2 linked regions of the Mus musculus genome follow. The protein of the gene in region 2 interacts with the protein of the main gene of each other region in a pairwise test. Links are inferred from orthologs where the notes say so. Each region holds a gene or a part of one and is shown on either strand. Other genes may lie near its edges.

Region 1 (3,518 bases), on a different chromosome or scaffold from region 2:
GGTCCTCACTCCCTTTCTTTCTTCCTTCCCTTTCTTTATTCTTGTTATTGTTGAGACAGGGTATCACTATTTAGCTCTGGCTGGTAGACCTTTTTTAAAGGACCCATTTTAGGCTTTGTGTGCTGTTCATTAGTGCCTTTGTCATGTCTCTTGTCGGGATTTCATATTTTTAAAAGGTTATTTTAAAAACTCTTACTTATGGGTGTGCACAAAAAAACATGTTTGGTCTTGGGCTGCAAACATTACTTTAAAATCAGGGTCTATATTTTCCAAGTTAAGAAATAAAGGAAGGCTTATAGTTATCTTGATAGTGAGGGTGCCCTGGCAGCTGTTCTCAGTCTTTGTAAGTAGGTTCATGACCTTCCAAAGCAAAGGTCTTGGCACTTTCCAAATGTATATTAGGTGGTATTGGCTAACCATAAACTGAATTAGTCTGGGACAGGAGTAGAGGCCCTATTATCTAAGCCTGAGTCACTGACACTCTTCAGATGGCGTGGTTAGCAAATTCAACTCCCATGTGACTCACCTTTTATTCCTAAAGGGGCACCAGATCTTAGCTGGTGTAAGCTAGCTAGGGTAGATAGATAGCAGCTATCATTAGAAGAGTCTGCCCAAGGAGTGGGGCTGAAGTCTGCTTGCTCTGACTTCCTCAATAGCCAAGAGAGATTAGACACAGGTGGGTGTGGATGACCAGACTGTTCCCTGCTGTCCTTTGAAGTGCCAGTCACATAGAGCGGGTTTGGGGCTTGGTTCTTGGGTTTATTCCAGGGTGACATTGAGTTTGGAATCCTGCTTGACTAGCAAGATTCTTGACTAGAAGAATTCTGCTTCCTGTTTCGGCCTTCAAGAATAGTGCAAGGTCAAACTTTCATAGCAAGGCAGTGATTAGTGGCAAAAGCACTGAACTTGAAAACCCTGGTTTTAGTTTGCCTCTGCCATTATCTATAGAGCCTTAAGCAAGTTATTGGGTCATTTGTGCAGTTTTGTTATTTGTGAAAGAATCTTGATCTACTGCCTATGAAAGAAGGAAGTATAAAGATAGACTTCCTTGAGTGACTGAAACAAAATCTGGCAGTGGCAATTATTTTTATAGTTGCTTGTCTTAAACAAGAAAAGTAAAATATGCTCAGCATACAGCCTAAAACACCATTCTCTCATGGACAGTTTGGTGTTTCTTGGGGTTTTCTTGAAAACATGTATCCTGTTTTCTCATTAAAAGGAAATATTTTTTCATATAGTGTTTAGCAATCTGCTTTTAAAACAAAACAACTTACTTTATTTTGTTTAAATGACATTTTAAGTTTAAAGGTGCCTTTACTATCAACCCCCTACTTCCCTTGGTTTTTCAAGACCAGGGCTGTCCTGGAGCTTTCTCTGTAGACCAGGCTGGCCTTGAACTCATAGAGATTTGCCCTGCCTTTGTCTCCCAACTACTGAGATTAAAGCCATGTGCCACTACTGCCAAGTCTATTTATTTTTTAATGAAATGATTTGTTCTACTGAGTTTTTTATTGTTTAATGATCAGTGTTGATACCTGTTAGGTAGGCTAATTTTCAATGTTTGGTGACTGTGGGAGTGGTTTTATGGAACAAGCAAGTCTTATTTGGAGAGTCCTACACAATAGAGTCCCCTATCCCAGTGGGAGCCCGGGGGGGGGGGGGGGGGGTTGGGTTGGTGGTGAGTGAGGTGAGCTCATAGATAATAGGGTTCTTCCTTTGTACTTATAAATAACAGTGTGACAGGCTCACCCTCTAGTGGGTATTGATGGTACTGAAACAGGAAGTGTTGCTTCTCATCTGACATCTTTCAGTTTCTTCTTCTGATCCAAGAGCTGGGACATTCCAATATATGTTGGTGTATAGGTGCCATTTGGCAGACATGGAAATGTAGAAGTTGAAGGATGGAACTCTTCTTGGAACATACCTGTCTGACTGAATAGCACGTGAGGCCCTGGGATGAACTGTGACAGCTAGTGTTCAAGTTTATGCCTCAGTAGTACTAAAGCTAACTCCTCAACAATATAGCCAGAAGTCCTCTGTTTTTCTTGATCAGTGCCTCTTCAATTTCCAAAATAGGGCGAGCTTAATAGTTTTGTTCCACTAGCTCTTTCCTGTGTGCGGATTCCTTGTGTGTTCTCTTTGTGATGAACGTTCCACATACTTGTCTTTCTCAATCAGCAAACTTCACAGGTTACTTTTTAAAATTTATTTATTTATTTATTTATTCATTCATTCATTCATTCATTCATTCATTGGTTTTTTGAGACAGGGTTTCTCTGTGTAGCCCTGGCTATCCTGGAACTCACTTTTTAGCCCAGGCTGGCCTCGAACTCAGAAATCCGCCTGCCTCTGCCTCCCAAGTGCTGGGATTAAAGGCGTGCGCCACCACACCCGGCCACAGGTTACTTTTAAGTTATTAAAATTGGACCCAGGGAGAGAGTTCAGTTGGTGAAATGCTTTTTGCACAACATGAGGACCAGGATTTGAGCTCCAGTACCTACATAACAAGCTAAGCTCTGTGGTGGCAGAGATAAGAGGATCCTTGGGTCCTGCAGGACAGTCAGACTAGTTTATCAGCAAGCTTCAGATTTGGGAAGAAACTCTGTCTCAAAAAAAAATAATAATAATAATGTCGAGGGACATTGAGAGTACTTGCACTTGCTCACAAAATTATTAAAAATTGACCATACAGAGGAGACACATGATCTCTGTAGAGCTGTGATCCTACCTTGAAGATGATTGGTAATAGGAATGTCTATGAAGCCAGATTTAACTGCTTGGTTCTTTGTTCTTTCAAAATTGCAGGAGCTATGAAGACATGATTGGTGAAGAGGTGCCGCCTGATCAGTACTATTGGGCTCCTTTAGCTCAGCATGAGCGGGGCAGTTTAGCAAGCTTGGATAGTTTGCGAAAGGGAATGCCCCCACCTTCAAACTGGAGACAGCCTGAGCTGCCAGAGGTGATTGCCATGTTAGGCTTCCGCTTGGATGCTGTTAAGTCCAATGCAGCTGCATACCTGCAGCACTTATGCTACCGCAATGACAAGGTGAAGACTGACGTGCGGAAGCTCAAGGGTATCCCGATATTGGTAGGATTGTTAGACCATCCCAAAAAGGAAGTGCACCTCGGAGCCTGTGGAGCTCTCAAGAATATCTCTTTTGGACGTGACCAAGATAACAAGATCGCCATAAAAAACTGTGATGGTGTTCCTGCTCTGGTCCGATTGCTCCGAAAGGCTCGTGATATGGACCTGACTGAAGTGATTACTGGTGAGTGCCAGGTTAGAGGTCACTGTTAATCTATAGACAGGTATGGATCTAGAACTTTCTAGACTCTTAACTTTTAATTAATTTATTGAATAATTAATTCTTTTTGAGTCAGGGTCTCACTGTGTAGCTCTGGCTGGCCTAGAACTCACTATGTTGAGCAGGTTGGACTTGAACTTGAAGTAATCTACCTGCTTCGGCCTCCCAAATTCTGTGATAAAAAGCATACACTACCATGCCTGGCCAATCCAT
Region 2 (4,102 bases):
AAGTCCACATTGCTTATTTAACCTATCAATTTGATTTTTGGAGAAAAAATAGAATATTAGATGATGATCATACATATAAAAACTAGATTTCAGAACCACCTCACAAACATGCAGATGTGTAAACCAGGTAAGTTTCTGTTTTGTTCTTTTGAGAAAGGGTCTCGTTATGTAGCCTCATCTGTCCTAGAGACTAGCTATGTGGGCCAGGCTAACCTAGAGCTCACAAGAGACCCACATGCCACTGCCTCTAAGTGCTGGCATTAAGGATGTGCACTACTTTTACTATGCCTGGCCCAGGTGAGTTTCTAAGGCCAGTGGCTTTTCACCCATGTAGAAGTGGATTGAGATCTGGCTAGCTAGAAGTGGTGGCTTTTGCATCTTGTCTATGCATGGAATCCAATTAGCCCTGCAGCCTTGATGTCCTTCCTGAAGGGACATTACCCTTGCCAGTCCCATCCAGACTAAGATCCTCAGAGGTATTACACAGGATGACGTTAGTTAGCTCTGCCCTTCTAACTGGCTGCTCTTCTCTGCCTAAAAGGCTGGATCGGTGGTCCCTCTAAGCCATTACTTTACAGAATGGCCTGCCTTAATATATAAGGCCAGGAGTCTTATATATTAATACATTAATAATATTAACTACATTATTATGTATATATTAATATAATATAATTACATCAATATTAATAACATTAAATGTATACTAATATTTTATATATATCAGATCGTCACATCTTCCCTTATTCTCCAAGGCAGCCTTCTTTTTTTTGTTGTTGTTTTTTCAAGACAGGGTTTCTCTGTGTAGCCTTGGCTGTCCTGGAACTCACTTTGTAGACCAGGCTGGCCTCGAACTCAGAAATCCACCTGCCTCTGCCTCCGGAGTTCTGGCGTATGCCACCAAGCCCGGCCAAGGCAGCCTTCTTATTGGACCGCTCTCACCAGGATTCGAACTTGTCTTGTGTGTGTCTACTGGCTGCTTTTTTGAGTCTTGAGACGCGCCTCGGTCTGGGTGGCTGCTCTTCTCTCTAAGCCCTGCATGCGATGAGGTCTATCGACTTAGTGAAAACAGCTGAGGAGAAACAGTTGCGGAGAAGGAGTCCTGGGCAAGCAGGGAAGAGACTGCTGGCGGCCAGGAGGAGAGGCTGAAAGCGGAGGGGGAGTTAGGGGCGTGGCCTGGGCGGAGCTCCGCGCGGGAGTCCTGGGCGGGGCGGGGATAGGAACGGGACGGAGGCGGGGCTTCGGGACTGCTGCAGAGCCCGCCTGACCACGCCGCCCCGGCAGCGCCCAGAGTGCCCGCGGCGATCCGGCTTCCCGGCCTTCGCCCCGCGCCGCCGATAGGGGGCGTCCGCGTTCTCGGCGCCGCGACTCTGCTGAGAAGGCGCCGCCCGCGCCGGGCAGCTGGAGCCGCAACTCCGGGCTCCGGCTCACTCGTCCCCTCTGCCGCCGCCGCCGCCGCCGCCGCCACCGCCGCCGCTGCCGCCGCGGGGCGCGGGCTCGCTCGTCCCCGCGCTCGCGCTCTCGGGCCGCCGGCGTCTCCCGGCCGGGTCGCCTCCGCGCTCGTGCAGTGAGTGGGGCGCGAGCGGGGCCTGCGGGCCGGGGCTGCGGGAAGTCGGGCTGAGGAGAACGGCGGGTGGCGGCCGCGCGTCCCCGGGCTGGCACGAGCCCGCGGCGGGGCCTGGGCGGGGAAATCGGGGACGCGCGGCCGCCTCGGGCTTTGGGCTCCGGCTCGGGTTCGGGGCTCGGTGCGCGTGGCCGGCCGGGCTTGGCTTGCGGGAGACCGCGGAGTAGGGACCAGCGGGCTCTGCGGGGCAAAGGGTTGGTGTTTTGGGGAGTGGTGTTTATTAGCCGCCACTGCCCTAGTTTAAAGCTCTGCTTTTTGGGTTTTGTGCACAAATTGCAGCTTTTTACCGGAATTTTGGGATGTCACGGCGATTTAGTGCTGGGTGTTAAGAGGTGATCCTTGGCGAGGTCGTGGGGAGCCCCTGCAGCACCTGCTGGGCGATGGCAGCGGAGGCTGTGTCTGGGGGTGGGACGGGGAAACGAAACGTGACTGAGATCCTGTTTGGATATTCTGCTGAAGTTGTCATGTTTCTGTTCTGTACACCAGTACATACAGCAAGTTGATAAACCTGGTTTCAGGATTTCGTGATGCAGACAAATAGACCGATGTGACCTGGTTTAGCTAAGAATGTCTGGGATAGCCCAAACAACCTGCTCCAATGTACCCCCCTTGGCAGGCTCATCTTTTTCGCTGTTGCAGATATTCTAGTATGGGAATAATGGTGGGGTATTACAGGCCCAAAGCCAGAAGTGTTTCAAAAGAGTAAAGATCTAAGTAGGTAGGGTGGGAGAATCACCCTTTGGATGAAAACCAGGAGCCCACACGGATTCTTAGTTTTTTGTAATACCGTAGGTAGAAAGATGGCCATAGAATTTGAAAATTTTTAAAGTGTATTTTAGCTGAAGCAATAGCGTGGAAAGCAGTCTTATGGTCACTCCTATGATCCATCGTCGCATCCTGGATTTTAATAGTTGGGGTCTATTTTAAACGGAACACGTATGTGTGTCTTCTGCTTTATCTTGAGACAACCCTGAGTCATGCTTTCTAGAAGTCCCGAGAGCTCACGTGTCTGTTTGTCTCTGCGAACGCTGGACATCATTTTACCTTTAGTTTTTCTCACGGCAACTGCGGTGGGATCTCCGGGAAAGGAGGGCCAGGGACGGGACAGAGTGGGAACACAGATTGGTCCTAACCTGCATGTTCGCCCACCGTGTCTGACTTACCTATTTAAATTTTGGTGATGCTGCGAGTAGTAAAGGGCGGTCTACTCAGGTTCTCACAGCCCTCTGCTGGCATGCTGCACGTGAATCCAGAGCGCCACTCCTCACTGCCCTGTCGGCCAGTTTTACCTCCATTGTGTTTAAACGGTGTGGTTACTTTTGGGAAGGTCATAATACCCATTTTGGTGGAAACTGAGGGAAAGTAGAATTTTATGATTTGTGACTCTGACAGCACTTAAGCTGGAGAGTATATATTCTTCTGGTTTGATACTGTCAGAAGATTCATAATTTCTTGTAGGACTTTCTCCCTTTTTGCCTACATTTCCTTTCTTCTAGCCCACGAGGTTGAGAGAGGGGTTTAGTTAGTGGTAATTTAGCTTTATAATCCCATTATCCTTGTGCGCTCGCTACTTGTGCTGGCCTGTATGTGGATGTTAACTCCGAAGACGCCAGGAGATGCCACTGAACCAATTACTATAAAAAGTATTTCACTTTCAAACTCCCACGTTCCCAAGAACAGAGAAACTCAGTACAAAGGCAGCTTGGAAGGTAAGTATAGGTGGAGAGAGAAAATTTACCGGTCTTCATTTTGGGATGGCAGACACAAAGGTTTCAGTAGAAAAGCACTTGGAAGGGCTACCCAGAAAGCGTGGGAAGGCAGTGACTACAGTTGTATCATTACATTTTCTAATCCGAGGTTAGCATTACGGCATATAGACTGTTACAGGGGAGGAGGACTTTTGCTCTGGAGCGTCTTACTCAATAGCAGAAGTAAGTCTAGAATGTTTGTGCTGTCTTATCATAACCCCCACTGTAGCTTTGCTGTGGTAAGGAGGGTTCTCACAGGTTAAGTTGTTAACTTCCTGGAGTGTGCATTCTTCAGATTTGCTAGGGTCAGTAAATTAGTAACTTCTTTTCAGGCTTCTAGAAATTCTTCAGAATATGTTTTTCTTAACTACCTGCTAACATACTATCAGATTTTACACATTAGTTACAATGACCTTTGAAGTTCAAGCAAGCATGATAGTCTTTAGGACCATAATTTTTTTTTTTTTTTGAATCAAAGGTCAGGTATTTTCAGGTAAACCGATTTTACAAGTCAGAAAGCCTTTCTTTGAACTTTATAGTCGTTGGTTGTAGCCATGACTCTAAGAAAGATCTTTCGTAAGGGAAAGTCACTTAAAGGAATCTTATGAGGAAACATTTCACCTTGGCCTGCTTGATGCCCCCTTGGAGGCCTTCTGTCGCCTGGCTTGTTCTCATTAAGCCCTCCACTGGAGGAGGTTGTGCCGGATGGGAGAGAAGATGAAAGGGAAATGAA

What was found. The genes of interacting proteins can lie anywhere in the genome.
Region 1: the proteins of Kctd6 (region 2) and Ctnnd1 interact in binary tests that used the Homo sapiens proteins (3 or more experiments, as listed by UniProt). The two-hybrid records come from large-scale screens. The link is inferred for Mus musculus from reciprocal best matches to the Homo sapiens genes KCTD6 and CTNND1.

The regions. Positions count from the first base shown.
Region 1 is NC_000068.7:84,616,231-84,619,748, reverse strand, and holds part of Ctnnd1 (catenin delta-1), read left to right. Parts: intron 1-2,805; coding exon 2,806-3,269; intron 3,270-3,518. UniProt on the Homo sapiens protein: Key regulator of cell-cell adhesion that associates with and regulates the cell adhesion properties of both C-, E- and N-cadherins, being critical for their surface stability.
Region 2 is NC_000080.6:8,212,779-8,216,880, forward strand, and holds the start of Kctd6 (BTB/POZ domain-containing protein KCTD6), read left to right. Parts: upstream 1-1,302; 5' UTR 1,303-1,564; intron 1,565-1,723; exon of another isoform or gene 1,724-3,330; intron 3,331-3,336; exon of another isoform or gene 3,337-4,102. UniProt on the Homo sapiens protein: Probable substrate-specific adapter of a BCR (BTB-CUL3-RBX1) E3 ubiquitin-protein ligase complex mediating the ubiquitination and subsequent proteasomal degradation of target proteins.